2 linked regions of the Drosophila melanogaster genome follow. The protein of the gene in region 1 purifies or fractionates together with the protein of each later gene. This does not show direct contact. Each region holds a gene or a part of one and is shown in the gene's direction. Other genes may lie near its edges. The genes, in order: qjt and Arpc3A.

Region 1 (16,435 bases):
ATATATTGAGATGAATGTGCCATCTTTAGTGGGCAAGTTTGAATACTTTGTATGCCTAATCACAGAAAATGAAGTTAAAAAGATAAGTAGCCCTCGATTTTACAATTCCATGTGTCTATTCTGTCTATTAATTTGAATAAATATAATCTTTTCGTTCACGAAATTTAAGTTTTTAAGCCGCTCACATATTTTATTACGGCAAAGGTAAGCAATTATGTTTTACATTATTTTATTGTTATATTTTAATAAGAATCCACTAATAGTTTAAAGATCCGCTATCCACACAAATTAGGTTCAAGTCCACGCTGAAAGTCTACAAAGTTACACATTCTGGTGGTGGCCTGCACTTAGCTTCTGTCCAAGACATCAATCTTAAAAAGCGGCACTTTTAGGACATTTTTCAAAAATAAAGCCTAACTGCTTGGTATGTTCAAGCGGCCCGTCCACGGTCACACTGGTTGAGACGAGTCGAGAGGAAATTGCAGCGTAAAAGTCGAATTTCAAGGTAAAAATTTGGCATCATAATCGGTACAATGGCAGGTGCTGGCTCTAAAAATATGCACAATTATGGGCTGCCAAAAGTGCAGAGATCGCGCCCAGTGTTAGACGTACTCGGCCGCCTTCATCCGCGGAGCAGTGCGAAAATTACATAACCTCCGGGTGCAGCAAATATAGGAGCACCACCTAGGCCATAATGTTTATAATAACGATCTGTGTCTTCATACAAATCCTGGTGCACTTCCTCTGCGGTTGCTAATCAAAGCTTTCCCCATCCGCAGCCCCACAACCATGCGTCTATCCTCGATCCTGAATGGCCAGCATTTTGGCAACTTGGCCAAGGTGCACGGCATCGTCACCTACAAGCTGTCGCCCTTCGAGCAGCGCGCCTTCGCTGGAGCGATCAGCAAGGGACTGCCCAACATGGTGCGTCGCTTCCGCTCCAACGTCTTCATCGTTACTCCCCGTAAGTAAATCGCTCAGGATTCCCGTCGAATCGTATTCTAATACCCAATTTTTCAGCCTTCATCGTGGGATACCTGATCTACGATCTGACCGAACGCAAGCACACCGCCCTGCTGCGCAAGAACCCCGCTGACTACGCGAACGACGAATAAGCGTCCCAACTAGCAGATAGTTATGTTAAACTAATTAATAAAACTAAACCCACAGTTCAAGAGAGTTGTGTGTTTCGGTTGCTGGAAGGCTAAACACCAAAGGCTTTGTACTCATACGTTACACATGGGATAATTTTATGTTCTATTTTATCAGTTTTATTGCTCTGTTTGCTAAACAATTCTAGAGAGAATTTGTTTTTCTGGATGAGCAGCTGCATCAGCTGTTCCCCAGTCTTGGTTTGAGTCCAAGCTATCTCGCCCTGCAATGTCTCAAAATAAAATAACAAAAAATTCATATGATGAGAATTTCAAAGAAAAAACACGACATGGAGGCAATATATTACGTTTTAATAATAAAATAAAAATTTTACTTGTTTTTAATATTCGGTAACGGTCTTAGCATTGATAGTCACCCGCTAGAGTTGCAGAGAATCAATCATCGAAAGTCACCCGAAACAATCGATGAGTGAGAAAAGTAAATAGCCCCACCTCTAGCCACCGCACAGCTGTTTGCAAGCAAAATATTGGCGTTCTAATTGGTTATTGATCCGATATTAGTGCATTAATGGACTGCTGCGGTAACGAAGTGCGCAGCGAAAGTATCCACAACATGCTACAGGCCCTGGTGGACTCAAAGGTGGTCAACGTGCAGCTTTTGTCGATTGCCGTGGGCATTTTCTTCGTGGTCATGCTGCTGAAAAACAATTTTCGCAGCTTTTCTGTCACGTAGATGGATCCAGTTTAGTGTTTAATATATCTCATAATGTAATGTACGCTAAGGATTAATAATAACTACCACAAGCCACCTTGCATCTTGTTTCAGTTCTATGGTTTTTGGAGCACTCCTCGAGGCAGTGACGTCACGTACATTATATGTGTAATATTTTGGGTGCTAGAACGTACTCGTGCTTTTTTCGGTCTCAGGGTCATCGTGTTATTTCGTAGGTGTTTGCACAACAACACGCCCAACCCCAAAAATATAATTGTTTTCGAAGGCCGGGTGAACTGGTTTGACTGCCCCCGAGACTTCCACGGATCGTGCAAAAAAAAAGAAGAAAAAAATAGAGCCCAGAATTTGTTAATTTCATCATCAGGCGACTGTGATTCTTGGCAAGCTGTCTTGCGATAAGATAGGTTATTCGAATACTCGAAGTAAGTCCTACTTGGAACAGGCATTCTCATCCAAAAACTGTTGAACTTTTGCCCCAATTGCCGGAGTAGAAGCCATATCCAATCACACTCAATTGCTATCCACAAACGATTCCAATTGACCGGCGATTGATTGCCCAATGTCTGCACGCACTTCCTGGTGCAGCATTAGAATTCAATAGACGCCCGACTTCAGCTGGCTCCATTCTGCAATCCCGTACTGACTCATTGCCCGGCACTTTCAGAATTTATGCAATACTGCGGTACGTGCTCTTATGCTAAAATATTGCATTAGAACACCCAGCGAACGTGACTTGATTGCAGGGCTAGAAATAGCAGCACTACCTTTAAGCCCTCGGATAAGCCACTGAGACAAGTCTACCTATTCTTCTGATTAGTGTTGCTTATACGAACATGAAGGATCCCATAAATATTCTTAAACATCAACTGATAGTCCTGCAACTGTCTAATCCTTCATATAGCCTGAAAATCTACCTAACTTCACAGCTTACTAATATAAACAAAAAAGTTACATCTTTAGTAGTTTATTATTAGTTTATAATAATCAGAGAACATATGCATTTCTTAGAAATTTCCGTGAATAAATGACCATTATTACAAGCACAACTTACGCATTAAACAATAATAATTGATTGATTAATACATATTCATATGTATTAATTACATCATCGGATCATTCAAACTTTCCCAACAAATGCAGTTAAGCTATTGCTTACCACACAAAATAAATCAAAATAAAGCCATCCATTAAGCCGGATCATTAACCCGATTCCATACTGCTGAATGGATAATCCAGCAGCTTGTCAATGAACTTGTAAATCGGGAGTTCCAGGAACTCCGACGCCCGTCGAAAACGAAGTGCTGACTGAAGTTCCGTTTGGTTAGTTTAATCATTTACTGTTCATAAGAGATCTATATATGTATGTACATAACAATTTTTACAGAGATATTCGGTTACAGAAGAAATTTTGTAAAAAGCTTATCTAAAAACCATAAATTTGAATATCCATCAGATAATGGGTACGAAATCAGATCATCCCTCGACAGTTGACTGTTGCTGGTTACTTAACTTATTTTTCAGCGCAGAGGAGAGGCAGTCCAAGTTATGGGATCGAATTTTTGAAGACCTGGGATTCGCCTCAAAACTTGGTGGCTTATCAGAGCCCGCCGAGCTGGAATCTTCCTTATCGCCTTCGCCAAATTTCCGTTTCTTGCGATGCTTTATTTGATCACTCGGCTTGGGCATTGGTAGCTGTTCGGAAGGGATCGATCTGACATCAGCTTTATCGTCATGGTTGTTGTGAATCTTCTGATGGCGCGTTTTTTTAACTTTCTTCTTCTGGAGACTTGCCATGATACTTATCATTTCCTCCTGCTGGGCTTCGTACCTGGAGATGATGGCGTTCCGGCGCTCCAGCTTGGCGGTGAGGAAACCGACTTGGTTCTTGAGGCTGTCCACTTCCCCAGCCTGCTCGGCAATGGTCTTCATCTCGCGGCGCACCCGCTTCATCTCCTTTTCCACCAGTTCGGCATTCTGCCGGACTTCGGTCATACGTTGCTGGTACTTGTTACGTGTGAGATTGATCTGCTCCTCCAGGAAGGCAATGTACTTCTCCTGCTTAGCCACGTGCTCGTCAAGTTTCTCCAGCTGCTGGCTCAACACTGAACACTGCTCGGCTCCACCGCACTCCCGCTCATTCCGATTCGATTGAGCTGCGGCTAGTTCGCTCTGTAGAAGCTGGATCTCCTGTTCCATACGCGCCTGCAGAACCACCTGCTCCTGCCGATACTTACGATGTTGGTTGTGCTTGGAGCGCAGCGAGGACACCTCGCTCCGCAGGAGAACCACCTCGTTCTCCAATCGGGCTTTGGCTCGATCGTGGTATGGCATCGCGCTGGACGAATGAAATTTTGGTAGTCCAAAACACACGGCTTGTCTATTGGAAAATTGCTTCAAGATTGGGGTGTCTATTGGGATTTTGAAGGCATTCAGTGGGGAATCCGAGATCTGACATTTAAAAACTTAAATAAAACGTTGTTATGCAAGCATGCTCCGGTAATTGAAATTTTTTTTGATTACGCAATTCAATGGCAACCTTCGATATTTGTTCCCCTGTAAATAAGATCTGATTTGATATAAAAAAAAGGCATTTACTTTTTATTTCGACCAGATAAAAGTGCCCGTTTTACAAATCGAAAAATTCGAACGAAACGAAAACCGAAAAATCTGTGCTTTCGATTTAAGATCGATATCGTAAATTACGATAAATTCTCGATGATTCCAGTTTTTAAGCGATTACATTCCACGTGGCATTTGCTTAAAAACCTAATTTCAGGTAAATATCAACGTTATTTATAAATATAAGTCCATTCAAAGACCACTAATTAATAGGCTAGCCTAACTAACCATCAGTCTTGAACATTTGGCTTAAATATTCTGGATAAAATGGAATTCAATTACCTTGCTGATTCCGCACTTTCCACTTTAGTGGAAAACAAAAAGTTCTTCAAGGAAATGTCAGATTTCGTGTCCGATTTCAGCGATGGCGGGAAGATCAAGAAGTTGCTCGAGCAGAGCGTTGAGCAGAGCGTGGAGCACGCCGTGAATGTAGTCCATATGAAGATAAAGCACCAATCGCTCAACAAGGCTATGAATCAGGTCAAAAACTCTAGCGCCACCATCGAGGAGTTCGAGGAAGTCTGGAAGGAACGCTCCAAAGCGGTGGAGCAGAAGCGCATCAATGTCAAGAATCTACACGAGTTCAAGAACTTCGTAAAAGCAGTTGAATCAGCAGCTGGTCAGGCGGGTGCGGAAGTCAATGATCAAGCGAATGGCACCGCCTATGATGAGGACCTTATTATGGAAGACTCCGGCAGCGAGGTCTTCTCGTTCTACGATCCCTGGTCCAAGGCCCTGATAAAGAACCCCATGCGCAACAAAATGTGCGGTCACATCTACGACCGCGACTCGGTGATGCCGATCATAATGGACCGCATTGGCATCCGATGCCCGGTGCTCGGCTGCGCCAACTTGTGCTACATCCAGCCAGATCACCTGGTCCAGGACGCCAATGTCCAGCAAAAGATACAACAGAGCATGTCTAACGCGATCGTGGATGTAACTGCCTCGGAGGAGGACGAGGAATAGAACAGATAATGATTGTGCCCAACTCCGTCCTTGTTGAGAATTAACTTAGTAAAATAAAATAAATTCATTGTTGCCATTATTTTATTTTATAATAACTTGTACTTCTATTAATACACATATATGCTAATTTAAGCTGACCACAAAACCCAGTGAAACCACAATGTACACACAAGAATACGATTCACAACATATTCCTGTACCTACTTGTGTTTTCATTGGACTTCTTGGTCGAATGCGAAATTTTCTTGGAGTGAAGATACTGGATCAGCAATTGGTTGGCCGAAGATTGCGGCTTCACTTGGATGTCGCTCCTTTGCAGCTTCTCCACGGCACCGAGCATGTCCTGGCAGTGGTGGCCAATCCGCTTGGCCCGATCCCTTTCGACACTGGCCAGCACCTTTTGCAGATGCGACTCCAGCATGATGGCATTGTTCTTGATGGTGGACACCTGGCGCTCATAGTGCGCCTTTATTCTTTTCATCTCCCGCTGCTGCTTCTCGATGCGACGGGCCTGCATAAGGATTATGTCCGCCAGGTTTTGGCGATCGGTGTGATGCTGCTCTGCCTTACAATCCTGCTGCACCAGGACACCAAATTCTTCCTCGGAGATCGGACTTCCTATGCGCTTCAGGCTGGAACTCGTATTCCGACCGACAGTTTGTAGAGACTGCAATGGTTTCCTAGATGGCCTGGAGGACATCTTCTGAGTCTTTTGCCGCGTATCTAAAGTTCTTCGGGAATATGGCCTTTCATTCGGCAAACCAGGCAATCCATCGTTGCAAATCCTCACGCCCTTGGTCATTTTAAACAATAATTTAGCCACTCGTGAATTCGTTCTGACTCTTAATTTTATTCGAATTAGTTCAAATTTTGTCGATTAAGTGAGGGCAAACGTTGTTTCACCTCTAAAAATATTTAATGGTTAATTGAACTCTTAAGGCAATTCTGCGTAATAAATAAGCAACTGAACTGTTTACTTTTTTATGATATAAATGTTCGATTATGAATCATGCAACACTCAAATCTCTGCAAATATCCTCAAATTGGCGGAAAGTGAAAAAGTCGATCACTTTTACCCTTTTTTTTGTAACGATACTGACCAACTAATCTCAGTTATTTGAAAGTACTATAAAAACCACAAGCAAAATGACTGCAATTTGATAAACTCAGGTTCAAGGTGGGCTCATTTTTGGCAAGATCTGGTCAGAGTTTTCATGATTGTATGGGTTGAACCAGAGTTGAAAGTGCCACGCCCATCACTTGAGGCGACCAACCACACGCAAATAACCATATATGTATGTACATACATGTATGCATATGAATATTTAAGTAGGTACAACAAATTTGCACTTCTTGTATACTTATCTTAATATCTCTTAAGTAAATTTGGAAATAAGGAAAAATGTTTGAAGTTTCATACATTGCTGTCTTGGTTAGAGTATTCCAAAACCATTGATTTATGTTTTCTCTGCCTTTTGGTAAGCATAATTTGTATATTTTTGGCCGCGATGCCGCACACTTGATAAGGGTTATCGATATGCCCATGGATATATGCATGCATTATGTGCGACTGATCATTATTTGTTTTCTTCCCATAGCCTGTGCATCGCATTCGCAAGTTGTAAATTATTTGGCAGCAGGAAGCGGATTTCGTTTGGTTTTCGGGGTGTGGAAGATGGATGGATGGTGCTGGCCGGCGAAAAAAAAGACATTCTTAATATCCTGAATACTCATAAATTCAAAGTACCCCCTTGAGCCATAATTCAAGCAACTTCCTCGAATAATTCGATTCACAGTCCTTCAACACAATGCCAAGGTCTGGTCGTTTATGTCACCATCACTGCCTTCGGCTTTCTATGCTTCCAGTATATTTCTTAATATGACAAACTTCTTCCCACTTATGCAATTTCCATAAATTCAAGGTCAGCCATACAATAAAAGTCCAGACATCAGATACTATATACAACATACCCGGCACATGTGGACATTCGTCTGGCTACTTTTTCGGCAGCCAAAAGATTGAGGAAGAGTAATTTTTCGCCAGAGATGAGCGAAAACATCTGCGGATCAAATATATACATATATTTTAATAATAATAATTTTAAAATTTTTAATAAATAAAAATGATAAAAATAACTCACATTGATTACGTTTCTAATACAAAGAAATGAAATCTGATAAATCAAGAGCTTTAAATACCATAATGATGTTCATCCAAGAGATTCCAATGATACTTTGCCTAATAATTAAAGTCAAATCAAATTAAAAGTTAAAATCGTTTTGGCAGAAAACTGTTAGTAACGATAGATAGTAGTTGAAATGAGAGATTAATACAAATACATAAAATTGTTATCACTGATATAGTTAATGACAATAGTTAAAAGGCTATAAAAGGGTACAATGTAATTGTGGTACTTCAGATAACAAGGCCTTTGAAAATGTTGATTTTAATTAATTTTAATTTTTAATTTTAATTTAGCCATTGTATGTCTACTATACCAAACAAAACAAGAACTTAATTGGGTTTTTTGTAGTACGAAAAATTATGTGGAACCTTAAACATATAAATAAATTTTATACAACTATGTATAATATTATTTTACAAAAATAGCACAGCATTCTTGTGTAGTGAATCAGCAGGGATAATAAAAACAGTAAAAGATTAATAATGTATTAAATATAAATAATAATTATGAATAGGCAAGGAAACTCCATACTTGTAAATGTATAATTTAATTATTTATTTAATTTGGCTTGCATCAACCAGACTCGCTACTAACTGCCAGCTCTATAAATCCCGCATATAATATATACAAAATTCGGCTTTGAGAGCGACATTCCCTCACACCCCTCCGACCCCTTTGCACATGCCGAAAGATGATATCAAAATGCGAAATCAAAACAAAGACCCAGAATTTCGGCAGACTAACCCAAACAACATAAAAAAAAGGTCCAAACCCGACTAGCATCTAAGCCAAGCACAAAGGAACCACGCAGCAGACAGGGAGCAGACAGGCGAACCCCAAACCCAAACCAGAAGTCCAGGGCCTTTTTCTGTCTCGTTCTTTTTTATATATACTTTTTTTTATAAGCCCCTTAGAAGCGTAGACTTCGGCTAGACGAAATTTGAGATGTCTAAAGGACGAAGGAAAGGCAATCAGAACAGAAAAGAAGGAGGAGCTGTCAAGTGCCATCGTGGAAAAAAAATGGAGAAGCAGACGCAGAGCTTGCTGGATTCGTTCGATTTTGTTTCTATCAATTTCGGTTTAATTGCATTTAATTTGAATTGCAGACATCGAAATCAGGTTATATATTTCGTGTTCGGCTGTGCAGCTTGATTTAATTTGCCTGCTAGACGGCCAAAAATCGACGTAGATATTGCGCAATTTGCTCACCCCGAGAGCAACAATCAAATGCACTCGAAAAGTCAAATAAAAGTGAATTGATTTATGGGCTTTTTGTTTGTTTGCACTAAATATTCTTAGAAAAAATATGGTTACCCGCATAAATCAGAAATAATTACTTGAAAATACCCTCATTTGATAGTATATAATAAAAATAAAAACCGTAGAATCTGAAATTCTTGAAGTCTTGCATTTTATCGAAGATTTCAAATGAAAACTGCTGTTTTTGGCACAGTTTTTCCACCCTCTATTGTATCCTTGCCTCGATTAAGCACTTGCGCATAAATCTGCAGAGGAATCGCCAAAAAGCTGTAGCTTTAGACAAGAATCAAAACATATGAAATATGCAACAGGCCAGACACTTCGGTCGGAAATTTGCTTTGCAAATTCTGCTGGTTTTTGGCGACAAATTTCAATTTAACAATCGAGCACAGACATCCGTTCTGGGTGCAAATCGCAGATATATCTATATCGCAAGATACTGGGAGATACAAACGCGCACCAAGTCGGATGAAAGAACCCTATGCAACATAACTCAGCAAAGCAAACTCAGATTTCCGACAAGGGAACCCCCCAGCTCCTACTCGCTTCCAAAAATTTCTGACTTCGACTCTGAGTTATTAAAGAAACGCCATCGAGTGGGGGAAACAAACACAAAGTTTGTTATGTTGCGCAGGCGCAGCCCAGCAACGCCCTCAAATTCAGGGACTCAACATCGGTGGATCCATATGGGGATGCATATGGGGGAGAATCAGAAGGAGGCATCCGCACAATGTTATTGACCCGTCCCAACGGATCCGTTAGCCATCCTCCGCCCGAATGCCCCGCCCCGCCGCAAAAATTCTTATTAAGATCAATCAGCTAAATGTCGGTTTTATGCTTAATGCTCATGATTCACACGGGCAGAAGAGTCCAGGAATCGAAACTCCATGTGGCAGGAATTCGACTTTCAGCCCCTTAAAACACACCCACTGGTACTCTAATATGATGGTTGGAACTTTCAATTGCAAATTCACTATTTAAGAAATAATTAACAAATTATTGGCTAGACTATAAAAAGCATCTATTCACATTCATTTCGAATTTATTTCTAACTCTTTTAAACATACGTATTATCTTTAAATATTTACATTTCTTATAGCTTAAGAAATCTTGTTGTACTTATTCTGTTAGTTACTATTACCTACTAATTAATTCATATTTAAAGATTAATCTTTATGGTTAGTCTGACAAAAATCAAATGCATATTAAAATAGTATCCGAATAAAGATACTTTCAAGATAATTCTCATTTTCCACTTATCCCAAATGCTAAATTCAAATCTCACGTGTCAGCTAAGTTACCCTTCGCATCGATTCCAACTCCAAAAAAGCATGTCCCAACAACTTGTGTGCGAATATAAATAAAAATGTGCATTTTTGGCAGCCTTTACAAAGTTGTCGGCACGTTTTAATGCTGAGAATTTGAGCAGCTTTTTGCCTTCTTTTCATACTTTTTTGGTTACTTAATTAGTCATGGCAGGCACACTCGGGGAATGGGGCGACTCGGAGTGGCAGAGGCAAGTACCCTTATAACGAATGCAAACTGTATTCGATCGAGGAGTAGAATCGAGTGACTCCGTTCAGATCTTATACAATAGTTTTCCCACCCCCCGCATTTGCTTATCACCACTGACACACATTATAGGCCAGCTCCGACTTTTGATCCGTTCTATTCGCTTCAAACTCATCCAATTCATAAGCGTGCTTCCTGCTTTCAGTCAAGATTAAATAAGAACATTTCCCCATCCAATTCCCCTTTCAGTAGTAAAATATCAAGCTCATTAAAAATTAACAACAATTAGGGAAATCGCTTAAAGAAATAAGAATTAGTAAAAGTAATTGTATGGCAAGCTTTTGCTTTTTCTACTTTTTATTTTATTAGCAATAAAAATACCTAATATTTATAGGAATATATGTAATATACAAGTTCGTCATAAGGAAGCCCCACTGCACATACATACCACACCACATTGTGTGCAACACATATAAATGTGAATGTTTATTCCATCTGACAACGGTTAGCGATAAGCCCAGCGATGTAGTCAATACAACAAACAATAAGGAACACTTTTGGAGTTTCGTTGTCGACTTTGTCATTATTTGCTTGCCGTTTGTTTACAAGCTGAAACATTGACACACACACATCAGCTGCATCAGCTGCTCGTGCCCCATCCCACCCACCAACAAGCCCACTCAGAATGCGTAACCCCCTTCAATGTGGAAGCTCCAACACCCATGGGTTCATCTGCGGGTTATCAGCAGCGGATTGCAACTAGAATTGGTTACAAAAAAAGCGAGCCACCGAAAAGGGAAAACAACATTCATCCGGCGGCGGCGAGAAAAGCAACCGCAAAAGTTCAATGCACATTTCGAGGTGAATTTGTTTTTGAGCTCTCGCTCGTCTCGGCCTGCAATTAATTACACAAATCGAACGAGCGTGTTTAACTTGTTTTCGCGTCTAACATGTCACGTAATTAGCCGTCTAGCTGCGAATCGAGCCGATATCGATGGGAGTTTGCCAAAAGAGTAGCCAATAGATACGGCTGCGCCATCGCCTGCGTTGCACTCAATTTGCTTGATTATTGCGCACAGACTTTGCATGAGTACGCGTATCTGACAGTTTGCCTATCTATCTGGCCGCTTGGCAGACGACCTTGCGCCGAATATGCAATTGATACGTACTTTGCACATATGAATATTAATAGGCGACCAGAGAGTTACTCGAGGAATTTCGCAAACTGAATTCCATTAGCCTCCAAGACTGTAGACTATATTGTAAAGTCAGTTGCACCGACAGACAGCAGATGCATAACCTAAGAGATAACCCTTAATCGCAAAAATCACTTGGTAAACACACAAAGCAACTTATAGAAACTATTTAGCACGTTTTGCAAAAAGTATTCCTTTTTAGTACTTCGCTGGAACTAACTAAAATGTAACGAGCATTAATGTAACGAACATTAAACCACCAAAATTCCTCATCATAAACACTTTTCTTTGAAATGCAAAACTTTCAGGCTTTAAGCTGTTCCTCATGCCTTAGTGAAAATAATGTATAGCTCATAATAAGAAATTAATCAATCGAATCATAGACTTAGAATATCCATCACTTCTCTTCACTTTTTTATATTACCCACCCCACCCAGACGAAAAATCTTGGTTGAGTCATTTGCAGAAAATGTATTTTATTGTACATATGCAACAATAAATATTGTGTACTACATGTGATTCGTAAGTTAAAAAACACTAAGCCAAGCTAAGAGAAAGTCAAACTTGTCGAATTTCAATCAAAATAAAGGTCTTTCTATGAAAGAATTGGTACTTCTATCAAAACCACTTCAATTATTCCCTTATAAACGTAATGTATTCTAATATTCCGGTATGCTGAAAGTTTAACCCAGGTCGATCTGTCTGATCTCCAAAATCCCCTTTCCAATTTGATAAAAGAGCGCACGCCACTGATAACAAACAGAGAGAGCAGCCGAACTAACAGAGCCCTAACAGCGTGGGGGCCTAACAGAGCCCCAACAGCTCCAAACAGCTGCGCTGCCGACGTCGACGTCGGCGCAGGCGAAAAGTTTTGGCTGTTTTCAGTTCGCCAGACCGTTTTGCGTATTCGTATTCGAATTGTTACCGTGTGCGGACTGTGCCGACGGGCAGCGGAACTCAGGCGGTGCAACTGTATGTGTGCGGTGCGTGAGAGTGTGTGTGTGTGAGTGCGAGTGGGGGGCGAGAGAGATAATATGTACATTCGGTGTATATATACACATGTGTATACGTATTATTTCTATACGCCGCGATCAGACAACAACAACAACACCAACAACAATGTGGGTCGTGCATATTGAACATATGCAAATAAAACAAAAACAGATAAATGCCAAAAATCTACTACACTTTTATAACCAAAACACACAGAGCGCGCAGAGAGAGCGGCAATAACGATAACAGCGGAGACAGACCACCCCCACAGCGAAGAGAGAGCGTAAGAGAGTGACGGTTAGAAGTATCTTTGAGATACACTAACACAAAGAGAACGCGTATCTGTATCTGCATCTGTAAATGTATCTTCTGGTCTGTGTTTTTCGACTCCTCGTATAAATTGAGCCGCACTTTGGTTATTCTCGAGTTTTTGCTGCTCAGACGTCGCTGTAAGTGCACGCGTCGCTCGACTTTTCGGTTCCGCTCCGCTCCGAATCGGTTTCGTTTTCGGTTCCCAATACCTCCAATATTCCCTGAAAGATACCTGTGTCCAAGAACCCAGTTGAATCCACACATTTTCGTCGTGCAAGTCACAGAAAAAAATTATTAAATTTCTAAACGCTCAATACAAATATTTTCGCACACTATAAAAATATTAAAAAAAAAAAAACTGGTTGACAAATTTGTCTGATCAAAAACCTAAAGAAACTTGTACGAAAACGAATAAAACTAATAACATATTAAATAATCTCGTTTTTGAAGTTCATTAAAACCACACTTAATCAATAAATACATCATTGTTAAGATCCTCAGACCATTTTAACAAAAAATTAAAGTGCCAATTCCATTTTCAGTGAGTGCTTGATAAATTTGTTGTATTGAAACCCAACCGCAAATACAATTTTCAATTGGCTGAGTGCGTGTCTTCAACGCACAAACATACGAATATAGCATTTAATATTGTTCATTATGTGTGCAATTAAATAAAAAAAATTGTGTGTGAAATAACAGAAAAACGAGTGCGGCGAACAGAGGCAGCAACAAATTAAACGCGTAAATTGCGTAGCAAATTCTGAATGAAAAAATTCAACAAAACCAGAAAGCGAAACAGGAGCGATAAGCGTAAGTACAGCTTTAATAAATAAATTGTATATGTTCATAAAATGACAACTTTTTGTGACAACTTAAGAACTTAGAGTTGGATGGCAATTTAGGTTTGTCAATAATAGAGTATAAGAGTATAAGAGCTTTGCTTAAGTGAATATTACTTAGAACCCCAATTAACAATTACTTCAACTTGCATATATATAGAATTTGTTTATTTGAAAATGTGTATTTCCCAAAAACAATTTTTGTATAATGCATTTAAGTCTTGTGGCGAAATAAAATTTCAAAGAGAACGATCAGTGCCAAACAAACATGCAGAACCAGAAATAAGCTCAAAATTCATGGAATAACCTGATTTGGTTTCTTTTCATTTAATTGGGCTAAAGAAATTTCCCTTTTCAATGCTTGCCCACAAGAGAAATGGAAAGAACGAAGCATTCTCTGATTGATGTGGGGAAAACAAAAACAGAAACCCCGAAAAGATATTTCGAAACAAAATAGAGAGGGGCAGACGATGTCTAAGCATTTATCTTTTGGTTCTTCGACGCGGTTCTTGTTATTTTTCTGTTTTCGAAGGGGGGGACTATTCGGGCGCCAGAGAAAGTGAAACATGTAATTTTTTGTTGGAAGGCCTACAAAAATCATACGCCGTATTGAGTGAAATCGTAATGGGCTAAGAAATTTCTTAAATACGAAGGTTAAAAGGGGGCAGAGCAATCAGAAAGCGCACAATACACACTCGGAAATAATGATAAGACGCGCGACGGAGAAGAGACCGGCCAAAGAATACGAAACACACTCCATTTCTCTGTCTTTTCTGCCTGCTTTACTCGGTTCCCGGGTAATTACATACATGCCGTAAAACCAAAATAAATACGCACAGATAAAGATGCACAGATGCAGATACAGATACCGGGTTGGGATGGGTTGGGTTCGGATGGGCTTTTTTCCCGCATTCTTTTTGTGTCCTCGCAAAACGAAAGCCGAATATCGGCGAAATGCATTAAGGCCGAACAAAAGCAAAAACGAAAACAGTCAATAAACGCTGTTTAATCAAATGTAAATGTTTATACCGCACCGCAACTATCGACTCAGAATTACCGACTTTCAGAGCGTCAGAGTTTCACTTTTGTACCTCAATCATATGAGTGTTTGTTCTGGCCAGAAACCAGCAAGAAACACTCTTTTCCGTCTGACCCACATCGGGTTCGTTATCACCGATTTTTATTATCCATTTATATATATTTGCTTGATCGCATTGAATACGTACACATTTACAGAGCCGTTTATTTTTTGGATTTCAAAATTAAACACTTAAAACGACGTTAACACACAGCAGGAAACGCATCTGAAAGTGACAGAGAAATCACTTTATTCTTTCTCGAATTGAAGTTATTTTTTTCGCAGCAAAATTAAAAATTCATGAAGTTACATTATTTTGCTCAGGTTCATAGAGAAAGTCAAATGAGTGCTACAATTTGAAATAAATTAATTCACTTCATTGTGGCTTCTTCCATTTCATTTTTGACTTCTATGTTTGGTTTACCTAAAAAATATGTTTAATTAATAGGTTTGTATATAAAATATACTACAATAATACGTATATAGTGCAACAGCTAAACTTAAAGCTAATGATTGTGTAAACATTAGATTAACAGAAATTTTCATTTAAATGGTTAAAATACCCATTTATGGTGTTTCCCATAACCAAAGTTTCGGAGCTAACTTTGTCTACCTCGCCATTCCCATATTTTTCCATTGTTTCCTTTTAACTTCATCGCCTCCGCCGACCAATAAATGATCAATGGCCCAAAGCATTTCGATTTCAGCCAAACTCATTTAATTTGTTTTTTGATTCCGCTCTTTTTTTCGCCATGCGCCCCAAGTCCAGAAAAATAAAGAAAGATACAAACAAAAACTGGGAAAGAACTACAAAATTCACCTGTAATAACGTCGCAGAAAATGAAGAAATCGGTTGAGAAGCGGCAGACAAAAACACGAATCGAGTAGAAGTGAGAAGACGAGCTACAGATGGAGATGAGAAAAAAGTTGGGGAACTTGAGAGAACAGACCCGAAATCACAAACCAGATTTTCTACTAATTTAAATTCTTGGCATACAAAATATTCTAAAAAAAAAATATATAACAAAAATGAACAAAAGCGAAAAAAAGACAATAACAAAACAAAGTTTTCTGTATTGATTAACGAAACGAAGCGAAAATGGTTTTATTGTCCAAATATTGGCAGACAGTTTCACATAGATCGCACGTATATATCTATATACCACCTTATATTACACCCATTACATATCCATCCTTTAGAACTTCCGTTTCCTCGGAACTCTCTTCGCTTCTGATGGATTGACATTTGTTTTATCTGCCTGACGTTTAAAATAAATTTCTTGGCCAAGAGAGCGGGGTAAAAAACACATTTACTCATCGTTGACACAAAGGAAATTTTCAAGAAGTTTAGTCACTGTATATCGATTTTTACTGGCTCGATATTGCTGTATTCGTTTGCCAGAGCACGTGTAAAGTTGTACACAAAAATAAGTCTTATTCACAAGCCCAAGCTGATAATTTTATATGGTGCTGTATGTATTTGGCATTATGCTAATCAACTGGAGAAACAAATACGTACAGCCAAATCGTCATTAATTATGCATTTATTTTGAGCGTCTCAGGCCGCTGGCTGCGGCCACATTTGATATGAAAACCTCGATTCGCATTTCGAGAAACTGAAAGTTG
Region 2 (17,005 bases), on another chromosome or scaffold:
AAGCCCCTGGGTCTGGTCATCTGCTTTGTTTTTTTGCTTCATTTACCTCGAGTCGCGTCGGTTGATGAAATTCCGCTTCTTATTGTTATTGGTGCGCTGGCGTTGCATTCGATTGGAGTTCGAGTGACGAAAGTGCCAAGAGTCGAAGACAATCAATTAGAGGGTGCATTACAATCGGCGATTCGATGCATCCCATGACGATGATGATGCTTCACATCGTGATTTTAGCAGCCACTTTTACGGCTGCGCAGTGTTTTCAATTGAACAGTAAGTGTGTATTACAATCAATGGGAAAGATTTATGTTCCGTGTTAATTTTGTTTATGAGCCTATTAAAAGTTCTGATAGTTGTTAAATAATCAGACTAGCAATATGTAAATGGTGTAGGAAGGCTTGTGCTAAGTAGAGAACGTAATACTCTTCTCAAATCAACAATTTCATAAACTAATAAATGAGTTCTAGTATTTGAGTAACTAGAGTTATAGGGGAATTATAGAGCTTGTATTGAATAAATATTACAACGTAGTTAAAACCACAAATCACGTAAAACCCATGATTAATGCAAGTTGAATAAGCGTTTTTCGTGCTTCCTTTGGCAACGGGGAAGTTCTAAGCCGACAAATTGAAAACCATTATGCAGTTCCATTTGTTCAGATTGCATGTTATGCTTGTCAATCGATATAACTATAGAACACTTTGCCAACGCTAGCATTATCCCAATATGCACCTGATCCGCCTATTTGCGTGTTCGGCTCCAAAAGTTCCCCGCCCGAATTCGGGCTACAAATTTGATGACGAAGCAGTATTTTGACAAACAATTAACTCAGCCAAAGTGTCTGGAATTTGCCAAGAGATTGAGGCACTCGAACTTGACTTGACCAGCAAAAAAAAAAAAAAAAAACCAAAGGCAGTGCGATTACAATATTGACATATGCTTGTTTGGTTGATTCCATCAATCGGAATAGAGAAGAATCGGAAGAATCTTCCAGCAAATGCAAAACAAGTTCAAGCTCGGGCAAAGGAAACTAGTTTCCTTTCACTTGACTGACCAGCCAATGAACCCGGACTGCAGTTCTAGCGAAAAAAGGACCTGCCCAGTTCAGAAACTTGTTTCCCACTTAATGAGCCGATTTATCCGACTGATTCACCATATTGTTTCTTGATCTGCTCCGTTCCCTTCCACTTTGCAGTGACGCAGTTCTATGAGATGCCTCCTCTATACGACTTGGATGACTATGATCGTTGCCTCCAGGAATTGAATGGCCAGGCGTCCACTTACTGCTTCGTCCGCGCGGAAGTCCAGCCCGATGAGTCTGTAGCGGCATGGCGGGCAATTGCAGAGATTTCGCAGTACGATCGCCATCACTTCGATCACCGACAGCTCTATTTCGGTCTCTGCCTGCGCGAATGTGAGGCGTCTCTGGCCGGGTTGAATAAAAGCGAACTGGAGGCCCTGCAAGCCGGCCTGCTATCGGAAAATGCAAAGGTAAGGCCACACGGAGGTGTCACCTCATTGGTAGCGATTCAGCTGCGGCTAACGATCGATTTAATTCAATCTTCGAATTCGCTGCTGGGCAGATACAGATACAAATACACATATTTCAAAACCCATCCGCTTGCCGAGGCGTCGGCCGTAATGGTCAATCAACAATCATCGGACACAGAAGCCGGGATAACAACGCCAAAGTTTATTCAACTCGAGCTCCCCGTGAGCTGCACATTATGTGGGCAGTGGCGCAGTAAAGGGGGTTTTAGTTCACATATTTGTCATTGGCATATACAAAGGTTTATATCTGCTTGCTATAAAGAGCTATCATGTTTTAACTTCTTAAATATTCGAGTATGTTTTTAAACAGGTTTATCGTTTTTTGAAAGTGGCCAATTTCAAGGGTCCCTCTCACAACGAACATAAAATGAATCCCATTTCAAAGATCCCCCTTGCAGACGCCTCTGGCTAAATGCGTGATCTGTATCTTCATTACCTATAAATATTGCATAAATTACAGCCGGAAAATCCGCTGATTAAACATCGGATAGCGGGGCAATGGGTGCTGCCAGCAGATGGGAGATGGGGATGGGGAATGGTGTGGCGATGCCATTGATGCAGTCGCCATCAAAATGCATTTACGATGGCTGATTAAACAAAGCGCTTATATTGGCTTAGGCGTTGGCTAAAAATGGAAATGGGCGGTCAGACAGCGAAATTCGATCCAATTCCATCAAATCAAATCGAACTCATTTCTTTCAAGGCCAAGGGCCTGACGTTGACATTTTGGTATTTTAATGATCGCAACATGGTCAATGCAATATTCGGCAGGTGAACGTATATCTGGACTTGTTCTCGATGGAAGCCAATAACCGCCAACGGCACCAGCGCTTGACAAATGCCTGCCTGAACTGGCGTCTGCAGCGTCGTGGATTCGGGGTGCTGGCCAAGAGCGTGGTGGAGTACTGCGATGAGGCGGGACATCAAGTGGAAGATGGTGAGTCACAGATTATATCATCGTGTAAATAATGTTTCTTTGCATTAGCATCCAAAAAGTGTTATGCATTTAATGGCGATGAGGTAATACTAACGACCGATAAAATAAATATTCCTTCTCGGCTTTAGATGCGTGGAACCTGACCTTCTACGGAATCTTGGGCACTCTACTGGTTCTGGCTTGTCTGGGTAGCTTAGTGGATCTGCATCTAAAGCGAAGCCGTCATGATAAAATGCTCAAGGAGCGAGATCACTACAAGACACCGCCCAAGAGCACTGCCCAACAGGTGCTGCTCACCTTTTCGGTGGCCCGCAATTGGTACCGACTTAATCAGGAGCCAAGTGGTAAGATCGGTCGCGAGCTGAGATTTCTCGACTGCTTCAAGTTCTTTGCCATGTTCATGGTGATATTTGCGCACACCAACTGGGTGATTTACGAGAGCGCCATCAGCAATCCGCAGGATCCGGAGCGACTGCTTCACACGGCAGCTGGCACTTTACTCGTTTCGGGATCATTGATCACTGTGACCTTTTTTGTGATCAGTGGTTTGTTGCTTACCATTAACTGGCTGGCCGTTTCACGTTCGCTAGAATCTAAAAAGGACACCTGGAGCTTCGGCCAGTATGCTTTGCTATTTGTCAAGTTTAACATCTTCCGATACATCCGACTGACGGTTCCATATGCCTTTGTATTGCTCATGAGTGGCGTTTACTTTGAGAACGCTGGAGGTCCACTGTGGCGGCACATCTTTGAGCGGGAGCAGTTGGCTTGTCGACGCAACTGGTGGACCAATCTGCTCTACGTCAACAACTTTGTACGCACGGATGAGCGGGTAAGTAATGAGTGCTTTATCTAATTTATCATCTAATCCACTCAAAATTCCATTCGGGATGCAGTGCCTGCTCCAAGGTTGGTATTTGGCAGCGGATACTCATTCCTTTGTGCTCAGCTTGGTGCTGCTGATGCTGGGTCACCGGTTCGTCAGATGGAGCAAACAGCTCTATGCGGGCATTTTGGGTCTTTTTGTGGTGGTGCCAATGGTGCTCACATATGCCATGAACTACTATCCCATTTTTGTACCCACGCCACAGTAAGTGATCGGACTTAAAAACTTTACTACTTGATTACAATCATTCTACCCATCTACCAAACAGAACCCAGAAGGATTCCTTTATCGGAGATCGTCAATTCACCGAATTCTACACGTCGTCCTTTATGAACTTCGGTAGCTATTTCTGTGGAGTCCTGGCCGCTTTGGTTTACGATCAGTTGGCATTGAAGCAATACAAACTACGGGAGTTAAAGAGCTTCCAGCTTCTTTGGTTTACACTTATTCCAGTGGGGATTCTATGGCTGTTTAGTGCTCATCCCATCTTCCAGCACTACTACGTGACGCCGTCGGCCATTTGGGGAGCATTATATGCCGGCCTGCAGCGAAACATCTGGGGCTTCGGGCTGGGAATCTTCATCGTGGGCATGGCCAGCAAAGTGGGATGTAAGTATCAACTGCGAGATATGCTTGGTATATCCTTGGCAAATCTTACTGTTCTTTCACAGGGATTTTCCGTAAGTTCTGCTGCTTGCCCATTTTCCGCATTTTGGGACGCCTCACTTATGGAGCCTTTATCGTCCACCTTCTTGTGGCGAGAATCGTCTTGGCCACAGTGCGGGAGCCCATTTATTTTGGCACGGGCATGATGGTGAGCTCACTTCTGGCATTCAATAGGAATTGGATTTTATGTAACTCAAATTGTTCTCATCTTATCTACAGTTTGCTTTCATCTTTTTTACGGTGACCGTGTCCTATCTCTGCTCCTTCTTGCTGGCCATCTTTCTGGAGCTTCCCGTCTCCTCCTTCCTCAAGCTTATGAGGTAGCCCAATGTCCTAACTTAAAGATTACTTATAACTAGAATAAAAGACATAACTTAATTAAATCCGTCACCAAAAAATTTCACTTACCCTGCGCCAATCTGGCTGGAAACGTCTTCATCGAGATTGCAGCTTCCTTTGAGCTCAAGGAAGTAACGCAGAACAGCATTGCTGGCGTCCTCGTTTAGGACCGGATTTAATTCCTGGCGAGCATAGGACAAGAACTTCTTAATCAGTATGGGTGGGAGCAGGTCCAAGTCCCCCTCCTCCGGAAGTACCTCCAGACGTTTGTCAAGATCATAATCCTGCTGCATAATGCTGTCATTATCGTCCTCCGTTTTGATTGTGTCATCATCTTTTCCCGCTGCCGGCACATTAAGGCTGACCTCGCACATGGAGTCGCTCATTTTGGGCTTAAGAGCATAGCGGGCTGCAATTCTCGCTCGTTTCCTAGCGCCCGCATGGAGAGCCCTTACGTGGGCAGTCAGCGACATATCTCTCTCCGAGGGCTTGTCCAATAATATGTAAACCAAATGGAACTCCCGCAGCAAAGAGGGTGAAATATTAATATTCTGTAGAAGGTAGCGCCCCTCATCGTATTGTCCTCTTTGTGGATTTGCGCACGCTATCACCGAAGGTTGCGCCGGGAATGAGGCAAATGCTCCTGCAAGTGGAAGATTTACTTCCTCTGATTGTAGGCACTGCAACAGTACGGCCTGCTTGGAGGCAAGTTTATCCACATCATCGAGGGTGCAGTGACCGCCTCCACTGGCCATCATCAAGGAACCCGCTTGTAGCACACGCTTGTTACGCCCAGCAAACGTAACACCCAGTTGCTGTGCGGATTGAGCCCCACGTTTTCCACTCACGTGGGCACCACGTTCAGCGATCTGAGCACAACTTTGCAGAATCTTGGTCTTTCCAATTCCGGGATCACCCACCAGGAGCACGTTGATGGCTTCAGTCTCCGCACCTTTCCCGCCGAGAAGGGATAGTAAACAGGCGGCTTTGGGTAGCTCATGTCCGTATACCTCCGGGGCAATGGATTGCACCAGTAGCTTAAAGCTGTTGGGTTCCGCATTGATCATGACAATCGCTTCCAAGTCACGTTCGCTGAACTCCCGCTTGATGCTGCTCGCATCGCGAATGCTGACTGCCTTGAGATAGGGCTGCATCTGGTTGGAGGTGTCTCCAGTGGTGGTATCGTCGCCCAATTCCTGCAGCTTAAGGATGCCAGTTACCACGACCTCCTGTCCGACACGCACAGCATCAACTAGATCATGTCGCAGCTCCACGTCCATTTCAGCAGGCATGCTGGTCTCAAAGTCGTGGACCAAGTTCAAACTGGACTCCTCCACGCGGATAATCTGTCGGATTGAAAGCCTGGTGTATGGGGAACTGCGAAGAGGCACGAATTCGTCACGAGCCACACACTCCGACCGCTTGCATTGATAAGGACGTGGCTGGAAGGTTCCCCGTTGGCGCATGGCAATCTCCATCTGGCAGCGACTGCAGCGAAAGGCTTGCCACGTGAGGCTGTAGCTAGGCTCGCCCACATTGCTCACAAAACCCCGGATGGAAAACAAAGTGTCCACTCGGGAATGGCTTATTCCTTCTATTGATTCCACAGGCACAAAATCATCCGGTCGTGCGTAGATCTTGCGTACCCGTGGGGTTGGAAGGACGTACTGTTCCGGAGTGGACACCATAGCTGTGGTGGAATCATTACAGTCCAGCTGGTGATTGACGACCACAGTGTGCATAGCCAACGACAGGGTTCCTAGCGTGCGAAGCGGGTGCTCACGGATGTCTTCGGACAAACTAGGCCAAACCTCCTTTAGCTGGGCATCTGATTTGATGCCTGCTGCGCAGAGGGGGAAGAATCCCCGATCCCGTATCATCACAAAATCGAAGGTGTGAGGATTACGTTGGTAGTATGCCTCCACGGCCATTATCCTTGTGGCCAGTTCGTTGCCCTCCTCGTATTTCTCGCGCAAGAAGTACAGTCGCCAGCCGGAATAAGCCCGTGGATTATCCACCGCAATGCTCTGCACCTGGAGCCCGTCTTCTGGTGCGGCATAGTTTTCCGGCCGCAGAAAGCTGCAGTCCAAGTGAGCATTGCGTCCTCGCTTGCCGGCTGTGCGGCTCCAGCCCCTGGGTTGCCGAGTTGCAGGCGGAACAGAAGGAGCGTCTGGTGCTCCAGGTTCCCCTTGGTTGGGTTGTCGATTGCCTCCGGCTGGGATCACACGTCCATTGCGCCGAAAGTAGAAGTACGGACGGTAGGCTCCGCCTCCGCGACCACGACCACGCACAAATCGCGATGGGGCGCCCCCCCGGGAAAGCGTTGGATTCATTTCAGCTGGGGAAAGTTTACAAATTTGCCCGCTTTTAAATAGAGATGATACCTATATTACAAATGACATGAAATATCGATAACGATCTTTGGCTAAGATATTGAACCCTTAACGATTTTATATTTAAACTTATAAATCGATGTAATAAAATTATTTTGGAATTATTTCGGCGGACACTTGTGATATCTTCGATTCTTGCTTCAGTATGCTCAGCTGGGCGGGAAGGTAGTGTTCAAATACACCCGATAGCTTCGACTTGACCTCACGAAATGTTTCCAACACTTTTATCTCCTCGTTCTCATCAGTGGGCTGCACGGCCTTTAGTTCATGTAGTAATTCGGTGCAGCCGTCGAGGAGCATCACCTGCTTCAGGTGAAGCTTAAGCAGCTCCTGCTGAATTGTCTTGATGCACTGGATTTGTTGGTCCATGCGCAGTGGAATCGTGGAAAGAGCCAACATTTGCTCCATATGCTTTTTATCCTTCACGAACATTTTAGCAGCACTTTCCATGGCTTCAGCAGGTTTTGCTTCAATCTCCTTGGGATCTTTGTGCTTTTTATCCTCCACGATCGTTTTATGAATAATTTCCATGTTTTCAGCAGGTTTTGCTTCAATCTCCTTGGGATCTTTAATGCACGGAGCTTCCGTCTCGGTTTTAGCTGGAATCTGTAAGGGAAATTAGGGCTTACTAACTAACTAGCCTTAGAAATTGACAGCTATCGCCTTTTTTTTTGGTTATCTACAGCTTTGTATTTATTTATTTTTTTTTTTACCATTTTGTTCTCTGCTGAAAAGTTTTAGAGACCGTATGCAACCAATGATAAAACTGAATAGCAGATCGAATACTAAGTCAAAGCCTCCTTTTAATAAGAAACTCATAGTTTTTTACAGAACATTCAGAGCGATCTAGGGTTCTGGTTTCTGGTCACCTTTTTTCGGGAAAAGTGAACTCAGATTGACGGGACAGTTGTCCAGGCGGGCCAGTTGCTTAACCATGTCATCCAGGAGCAGGCTGTTCCGCTCGTCGGAACCCTGGATGAGCCCGTAGGCCTCTGCGTTGGCGATTCGGTGCTGCAGAAGCGGCATGTAGGGTCCATTGAAATGCGGCTGTCCATTGGCCAATTCCGGCGGAGGCTTAGCAGTGGGAATAAAGTCCGTTTCCGACTTTGGGGACCGGCAAGTCGGCTGGTTTGGCCGAAACTTTGGAGTCCTATAGCCCAACTTTCGCTTCTTTTCCGCCTGCAAGTGATTTTCGCTCACGTCGTCGGACTCGTAATGATGGTTATAAAACCGGATGCCGTATATTGCGGGCTTTGGCTAAATTAGGTAGATTTATCTTTAGATAAATTAATATTTTGTGTTATAGATAGTGTTGATGGTTAGAAACTGAGACATATCTCCAAATCTCCAATACTCACAGCTCTCTTGCGCTCCTCATCGTAGCCATCGTCATCCGAATCATCATCCTGTTCATCATTGTCCATTTCAATGGGAATCCGGTCACTGGTCACCGGCACCTGGGGCACGAATTCTGAGGCACTTGCTCGGAGTCCATTAGGGGAGACCGCGGTCGGCGGAGAAGCAGAAGCCGAAGTCGGAGGAGTAACGGCTGGAGTCACCTCATTGCTCATGGACTCTAGTTCCAGACATAAACGTTTGTAGGCCATCGTGGTTCTTTCCAAGTGGTTGAGATCCAATTTGCCAGCGATATGGGCAACGTTCTGGAGGAATTTTTTACTTTCATCCATAAAGAGCGAAGTCACAATCAAATTCCTTTGTGGATGGCGCAAACATTAAAAATTTTAAACATTTAACACAAACTTGATTTGTTTAGCATTCGATGTTTCGATTCGATTTCTGACAGAAAATCTGGAACTGTCAAACATATTTAAATTGGTTGATGTACAACAATTTATAAAAAAATATTAATAACGAACTAAAAAACTTGTAGTATTTAATGGAATTGTCCACAATTTTAAAAATTTAGCTCAGTGTGACCATTTCGGTCGCGACTTATCGGTCTTGTCGATAAATTAGAGCTGCAAAATTTGTAAACAGTGGACGCCTATAATTAAAAACAATATTTAACATCGAAAAAATAACGTTTTCAACGTTAATTTAAATAATTAATTTAAAATACAATTCAACATGCCGGTTAGTGGATACTTGCGCATCAAAGGCAAACGAGTTGGCGTTGAGATATTCCCAGTTCTTTTCACCTGCTTTCGTGACCCCCTGCCAAGCATAAAAATTTCCAAGGGAAAAGGCAATCTTGTAAATTAACTATGCTTTCAGGCCTACCACTCGCAGATCAAGGAAGTGCGCCAGCAGGTGGGCAACATGGCCATCCTGCCGCTGAGGACGCAGGTGCGCGGGCCAGCGCCCAGTGCGAATATTGAGAGCGACATCATTGATGAGTCACTGTACTACTTCAAAGCCAATGTCTTCTTTCGCACGTACGAAATCAAGGTGAGGCCGTAATCCGGGATTCAGAACCATTACCTGGTCACGTGATGGTCATATTGAATCCTTATGCTACTTGCTACTTGAATTCACAAACTATGTTTTACCATTTTCAGTCCGACGTGGATCGCGTGCTCATCTATGTGACGCTCTACATAACAGAGTGCCTCAAGAAGCTCAATCGCTCCACGAGCAAGGCCCAGGGACAGCAGGACATGTACAGCCTGGCCATCTCCAAGTTCGACATTCCCGGCGATGCTGGCTTCCCATTGAACGCCGTCTATGCCAAGCCGCAAACGGCCCAGGATGCGGATCTGATGCGCCAGTACCTGCTGCAGCTGCGCCACGAAACCGGCAACCGGGTACTGGAGAAGGTCTTCAACACCGAGGATGGCAAGCCCAATAAATGGTGGACCTGCTTCGCGAAGAAAAAGTTCATGGAGAAGAGTCTGGCTGGACCTGGACAATAAACAGCTATCCACAATATCTGGTATCTTGTTTTGCTTCTACGACGGGTAAAAATACCCTTCAATTAAGTTTTACTCGCAGCGTGGTCCTAATTTGCAGTATCACTGCCAACGTGTCACAATTAATTAAATTCATTAACCACTAAATAAATTATTTGAATTTGTAAGCCTTTCTGTTTTAATTAATTTATGTAAATTCTTTTTACAAAATTAACGTGGATAAAACTGCAAGTAACTTTCATAAATAATATCTGTTTCTAATAACTGACCAGCAAATGGAAGTTATTGCCTATAATTTGTGTAATCAAAATCGGAATAGTAAAGTATTAACTAAGTTTCATTTATTTGTAGTCGCTCCGTCATTGGAAAAAATGCTTTCTATTGGCCTGTTAATTAAATAAACTTTGTCATCTGTCGAATACAACGTGGAACTCTTTGAATATAAATAATTTATATTTATTAGGCCAGTTGAGTAATTAAAAAAAATACAACTGACTTTCGCTTAAGACGAAGCCACAGCAACGATCTTTAATTGGAAAATCGTTCTAAACAAGGAATTCTAGGGGTACAAGCAACTTTAACGATAGAGATGGTCGGCCTGCAAGTTAGAGGCAATCTCGGACTCCCACTTGTCGCCGTTGCAGAGAAGCTTCTCCTTGTTGTACAGCAGCTCCTCGTGCGTCTCCGTGGAGAACTCGAAGTTGGGTCCCTCGACGATGGCGTCCACGGGACAGGCTTCCTACGCGGGGGGACAAAAAGATGCAATTAGTTTCTAGTAAATTGTGGCGCCACTTTGCTCCTCCTCACCTGACAGAATCCGCAGTAGATGCACTTGGTCATGTCGATATCGTAGCGTGTGGTACGTCTGCTGCCATCCGCGCGCTCCTCCGCTTCGATGGTGATCGCCTGTGCGGGGCAAATAGCCTCGCATAGCTTGCAAGCGATGCAGCGCTCCTCTCCACTGGGATAACGACGAAGGGCATGTTCTCCGCGGAATCGCGGGCTCAGTGGTCCCTTTTCAAAGGGATAGTTGATAGTGGCCGGTTCCTTGAAGATGTGCGCCAGGGTGACGGCAAATCCACGTAAGAGTTCACCGAAGAACATGGTGGATGCAGCACGGTCCGTGATGTCGGCAAACTCCATGCTCAGTTCCTTGTTGTTTACATACACATAGCCCTTGGGAACCTCGACGATATCTTTGGGTTCTGCTCGCTGGGCGGCCAGCAGCCGGGCTCCATGGCTGCCAAACAGGCGCTGTCCTGTGGGGAGAACATTTTACCATTAAATAACATGCTTAAGTCGAAAAGTTATACTGAATTAAGCGAGTTTAGACTTTTGTTTTGGTATGACATAAGCTTACATAACCTCACTCGCCGCGATTTCCACGAAAATGGGAAATTTCCCGGAAAACAACGGATGTGAGGGGATGGGTCGCCACCTACCGTTGCGCGATGCGGTGAAAATTCGCATAGTTAGCGACATTTTTGCGACCAAATTAAACTAAAATTGCCAAAGAAGTTGTTTTGCTATTGAATTTGCCCGAACAAATTAGAGCTGGGTTTCTTTCGATTACCCACATAAATTCAATGCTCAAATATCGTATTCAAATATATCGTAGTTTCTTAATGACATAAACCAAAAATAAAATATGAGATATAAAATATAAATAATGTAACAAAGAATTAAATATTCGTGTAAAAATAATAAATAATATTAACAAATAATCCAGAAAGACTGTGAGAAAAAAAAGAAAACATTTTTTTTATACGAATACCCCTAATAAAAACCTTAAAGCTTCGATAATGGCACTATCGATATAAATTCGCACTTTTACACTTTTCAACATTGACTTTGAAAATCCCCACCACTACAATTTACAGTTTAACTTTTCCCGCTACGCGGAATTGTGAAATTTTTCATTGTTTATGTCGGAAAATGGATCAGGAGGTTATGGATTTCTTTGACTTCTCGAAGGAGTTGAAGCGCGTGGCCGCCGCCCCGCAAGGCTACATCAGCAGCGATCCGAGGCTAATGGCCACGAAGTTCAAATCATCCGAAGTGCCCAACCGCGAGTTGATCGGCACCGACTATGTCAGCAAAATCGTCGCCAAGGAAAAGTGTCTCCTGAACGGGGTGAGAACTGGAAGCTTGCGTCAGCACTTCTGTTTGTTTATGTGTAATTCGATCCAGACGCTGCTCAACGAACAGCCTCAAGGCAAACGCATTCGAACGCTGGACGATTTGGACACCGACGATGAGGGGGAAGAGACCGAAATTCGCCGGGATGACGAGTACTACAAGAAGTTCAGATTCAATCTGAATCGCGACAAGAACTTGTCCATCTACGCCAAGCGCGAGGAAATATTGGCGGCCATCAATGCTCATCCGGTAGTCATTATTAAGGGCGAAACAGGATGTGGCAAGACCACGCAGGTGAGCAAAACTTAAATAAAATCCTAACTTTTTTATTAAGTCTATATTTTAATAAAGCCAACGCAAGCGAATTATAATTAAACCTTTTATCCTCGACTTTTGAAATTCAAATCCAAACTAGTCGAGAGTATTTAATATTATATAATAAATAATAATCTTCAATATACTTTTCAACTCTTTATATAAGAATAGCAAAGCCTAGGAAACTTATATCCTATATAGTTATATATCCTATCCTACATACTTAAATACAATGAATATTTTATGTGCAACAGATAAACAAGATCACATCGCGCAAAAATGCTAGTTATTTAATTATGTAAAAGTTTTATAAACTAACTCAAGTATCCAAAATAGCTTTGAGTTCTTCTTCCGTGACCTCCTCGCTTTCACCCACTTCCATTTCCTCGTCGTCACTAAACTCAATCATCTCATACTCTTGCTGCACGTCTGCTGGAAGTTCCCTCTGAAAAACGGTGGCCGAGGACATGCGGCGTTGATAAGTCTCGTTGACCTCCAGCTGCACTTCTAGTTCATCCGCCTGGTTTTGCGGCTCCCGTTCCTCGACGCCGTACATGGCCTTGTTCCGCACCCTCTGGCGCACTTCCAACTGGTTGCCTGTAGATGTTGTGGTACAATTCTCATCTGGAGTACTCTTTCTAGCTCCTAGAACACTTTGGATATCGGCAAAGACTTCTCGCAAATGGCCGAATATTTGAGAGGGCGGCAAAGCGTGCTCATGACCAGCCGCCAATTGCTTCTTTTGGGCATTGTATGCCGCTTCCAGTTCACACAATGGCTGGCTTGCCTGGTCCAGTGCTCGCAGACCCTCCAGTTCGTATGTGAGACTGACGCCGTTCGCACGCTGTTGCTTCTGCATCAAGGCACTCTGCCTCTGTTCCTTGGCACCCGCTACGGTCTCCACACGGTCGTAGTCCACCAGATTGTCCAACCCCTGGCAATAGTCGAGCGCGGTGAAGCGGAAGGCCTGCTCCTGGGTCAGGCGCCACAGCATGTAGGCGATCTGATGAGTGTCCTTCCGCTCCGGACTATCCTTGCGCAGATCTAGAGCGTAGTCTGTTAGTTCTTGCCAAGTGCGCGGTGAGACCTCGATCTTAATAAAGTTGTGCGTGGGCTGCTTGTAGTAGATTACGTAGAGCAGAAAGAAACCTCCGATCCTTTGAGCGCGAGATGCCGGGAAAACGTCCCCGGTGGTGCGTCGGGAGCACGACAGTCGCTTGGCCACATGCAGGGCCGCCAGTGTGGTGGCTATCACCTCTGTGTGGTTCGTCTGGGCAGTGAAGAGGTGCTGCAGCTGCAGTTCTCGCCAGCACCGGCAGAACACCTCGAACTCGCAGTTTTCGCCATCATTAACCAATCGCTGAAATCGTTGCACCAGCTCCCAGCAGTCGTCAAAGATATTCAGCTCCATTCTGAATCTTAATTACGCGAAATATATGCGCATCTCTCATTCAAAAGAGCCTCAAAATATAAACAATAACATTCGCCGGGAATAAGCTTTTACAACACTAGCCGGGGAGTTCATCGATAAATATGTAGTGTTCATAACTGCTTAGCTATTTTCAAAAAAAAAGCGCAAAACTATAAAAACTGTTTGAAAAATGTGTAAAAAATACAATTACATTTTTGTTCTGCTTTGTAAATATTTAGATATTTTCTTATAATTATTATTAGTATTCAATCAATTATTCTTACAGGTGCCCCAATACATTTTGGATGAGGCCTATAAAAGCGGTAAATACTGCAACATTGTGGTGACACAACCCCGGCGCATAGCTGCCATCTCCATAGCGAATAGAGTTTGCCAGGAGCGCGAGTGGCAGCAGAACACGGTGTGCAGCTTCCAGGTGGGCCTGCACCGCCCGAACTCTTTGGAGGACACTCGTCTGTTGTACTGCACCACCGGGGTGCTGCTGAACAATTTGATTAACAACAAGACGTTGACCCACTACACCCACATTGTGCTGGACGAGGTGCATGAAAGAGACCAGAACATGGATTTTCTTCTGATCGTGGTGCGTCGCTTGCTGGCCACGAACTCGCGGCATGTAAAGATTATCCTGATGTCGGCCACCATCGATGCCAAGGAACTGTCCGACTACTTTACCACCACTAACTCAATTCCGCCAGTGATCACCACCAATCATCGACGTAAGCACTCGATCGAGAAGTTCTACCGTGACCAGCTCGGCAGCATTATTTGGAATGAGGAAGATGTGGGACACCAGCAGGTGCCAGAAATCAACAAACACGGTTACAGGGCAGCGGTAAAGATCATAGTGATTATTGACAACATGGAACGGAAGGCTGCAATCCAGTCGCGGCAGAGCTATGACGAGGCCCTGCGCTATGGAGCTGTGCTCATCTTTCTGCCAGGCATCTACGAAATCGACACGATGGCAGAAAATCTTACTTGTATGCTGGAAAACGAGTAAGCATTGTTATCCGTGAGAATTGCTCACTGTACAAATTTTGAAGTAGCTAAAATTGTATCATTATAATTTCCAATCTTTATTGTTTAATTGCAGCCCCAACATTAAGGTCTCTATTGTTCGCTGTTTTTCGTTAATGACACCGGAAAACCAACGGGATGTCTTCAATCCCCCGCCTCCCGGTTTCCGCAAGATCATTCTGACCACAAACATTGCTGAGAGCTCCATCACGGTGCCAGATGTCTCATACGTTATTGACTTTTGTCTTGCCAAAGTAAAGGTAACCGATACGGCTAGCAGCTTCTCTTCGCTCCGCTTAACCTGGGCGTCCAAAGCCAATTGTCGTCAGCGTGCCGGCCGCGTTGGTCGTCTTCGTAGTGGACGCGTTTACCGTATGGTTAATAAACACTTCTATCAGAGGGAAATGCCCGAGTTTGGAATACCAGAAATGTTGCGCTTGCCCTTGCAAAACTCGGTGCTCAAGGCCAAAGTGCTGAATATGGGATCACCGGTGGAAATCTTGGCATTGGCTCTATCTCCGCCGAATCTGTCGGACATACACAATACAATATTGCTTCTGAAAGAGGTGGGTGCTCTGTACTTAACAGTAGACGGCATCTACGACCCGTTGGATGGCGATCTTACCTACTGGGGCACAATCATGTCTCGGCTGCCGTTGGACACACGTCAGTCCCGGCTTATCATATTGGGTTATATTTTTAACATGCTCGAAGAAGCTATTATTATAGGTAAGCGGGCAACAGTAGTTAAGCTTTAGGATAACGGGGGGAATATTCTTTGTCTTGCATTAATGATTTTTTTTTTAAATATGTTGTAGCTGCTGGCTTATCGACGCCTGGCTTGTTTGCGCACGAAGGTGGTAGGTCTCAATTAGGCGATTCATTTTGGATGCACTATATCTTCTCCGATGGATCTGGCTCCGACTTGGTGGCCATTTGGCGCGTGTATCTGGTAAGTTATGCGATGCATTACTAATAGCGTAATAACTTGTTTCTTCGGCAGACATATTTGAACATTGTGGAAAATGGTCACGACCAGGAGTCTGCTATCCGTTGGGCCAAACGTTTCCACGTCTCCTTGCGGTCACTTAAGGAGATACACTTGTTGGTGCAGGAACTGCGTGTGCGATGCACGCATCTCGGTCTGATTCCGTTTCCTGTTAATCCTAACCAAATGATGGACGATCGTGAAAAAGCGATCATGCTCAAAGTGATCATTGCAGGTGCCTTCTACCCAAACTACTTTACGCGTTCCAAAGAGTCGTGTGCAGACACAGATCGCAATATATACCAGACAATATCGGGCCACGATCCCTGCCGCACCGTATATTTTACCAATTTTAAGCCTGCCTACATGGGCGAGTTGTACACTAGGCGCATTAAGGAGCTATTTCAGGAGGTCAGGATTCCGCCGGAAAACATGGACGTTACTTTTCAAGAGGGTTCGCAAAAGGTCTTTGTCACTTTCAAACAGGATGACTGGATTGAAGGTTCATCTAAGTATGTTCCTGTGTCGGGCAGAGTTCAAAGTGAGGTGTACAAGGCAGTTATGATGCGACAAAATCGTGTCGAACGGCCAATCCACATAATGAAGTGAGTTATCAAGGCTTTTACTATCGATTATGAAGCTTATGTTTAATCATTTACAGTCCGAGTGCATTTATGAGCTACGTACAGCAGCGAGGGATTGGAGATGTGATTGAGGGCCGTTGGATTCCACCCACAAAGCCTTTAAACGTCGAGCTTCTTGCGCTGCCATCTGTCTTTGACAAAACTATTTCAGGGTCGATTACTTGCGTAAGCTGCTGCACCACACAAATCTAGAGAATTTCAAAGTATTTTTTTTATTTTTCCTATCTTACAGATCGTCAACTGTGGCAAGTTCTTTTTTCAACCCCAATCTTTTGAAGAGTGCATTCGAAATATGTCTGAAATTTTCAATGCTCCACAGCAACTAAGAAATTACGTAACTAACGCGAGTGCCATCGCAAAGGGCATGATGGTGTTGGCCAAACGCGATAGTTATTTCCAGCGCGCCACAGTGATCCGGCCAGAGAATCAGAGCAATCGCCAACCAATGTTCTACGTTCGCTTCATCGACTATGGTAATTGCACTTTGCTGCCCATGCAGCTAATGCGTTTGATGCCGAGAGAGCTAACTGAACAGTACGGCGACCTTCCGCCACGTGTTTTTGAGTGCAGGCTGGCAATGGTTCAGCCCTCTTCAGTGGTCAGTGGAAACAATAGGTGGTCCACCGCGGCTAATGATATGCTCAAGACAGTGGCCCAATGCGGTCTAATCGATATTGAGGTGTATTCGCTTTTCAATAATGTAGCAGCTGTTCTCATTCATATGAGAGATGGCATAATCAACGATAAGCTAGTAGAGCTTATGTTGTGCCGTCGATCCGACGAAGATTATATGTCTAGAAAAGATCATGATTTCCGTTTGCGACGTCAAGA

The links.
Region 2: the proteins of qjt (region 1) and Arpc3A purify together in Drosophila melanogaster (affinity purification with western blotting, with the first as the bait; one study listed by BioGRID). This does not show direct contact.

The regions. Positions count from the first base shown.
Region 1 is NT_037436.4:17,474,631-17,491,065, forward strand, and holds qjt (quijote), read left to right. Parts: upstream 1-4,465; 5' UTR 4,466-4,621; intron 4,622-4,677; 5' UTR 4,678-4,731; coding exon 4,732-5,433; 3' UTR 5,434-5,511; downstream 5,512-16,435. Other genes in the region: CG46525 (uncharacterized protein), read left to right, coding at 695-757; UQCR-Q (Ubiquinol-cytochrome c reductase ubiquinone-binding protein), read left to right, coding at 790-964, 1,021-1,115; CG34250 (uncharacterized protein), read left to right, coding at 1,681-1,841, 1,939-1,996; CG13733 (uncharacterized protein), read right to left, coding at 3,319-4,176; CG6333 (uncharacterized protein), read right to left, coding at 5,615-6,235.
Region 2 is NT_033777.3:15,825,912-15,842,916, forward strand, and holds Arpc3A (Actin-related protein 2/3 complex, subunit 3A), read left to right. Parts: upstream 1-8,736; 5' UTR 8,737-8,854; coding exon 8,855-8,860; intron 8,861-9,001; coding exon 9,002-9,175; intron 9,176-9,285; coding exon 9,286-9,639; 3' UTR 9,640-10,110; downstream 10,111-17,005. Other genes in the region: rec (recombination-defective), read right to left, coding at 4,443-6,706; CG4576 (uncharacterized protein), read left to right, coding at 186-267, 1,190-1,485, 2,317-2,482, 2,611-3,314, 3,379-3,572, 3,637-3,977, 4,040-4,182, 4,254-4,358; CG43318 (uncharacterized protein), read right to left, coding at 6,857-7,372, 7,480-7,482; CG43317 (uncharacterized protein), read right to left, coding at 7,613-8,023, 8,125-8,454; ND-23 (NADH dehydrogenase (ubiquinone) 23 kDa subunit), read right to left, coding at 10,214-10,375, 10,444-10,895, 11,079-11,118; spn-E (spindle E), read left to right, coding at 11,572-11,769, 11,827-12,069, 13,788-14,521, 14,619-15,271, 15,361-15,494, 15,546-16,135, 16,192-16,339, 16,407-17,005; Pbp45 (PSEA-binding protein 45kD), read right to left, coding at 12,410-13,501.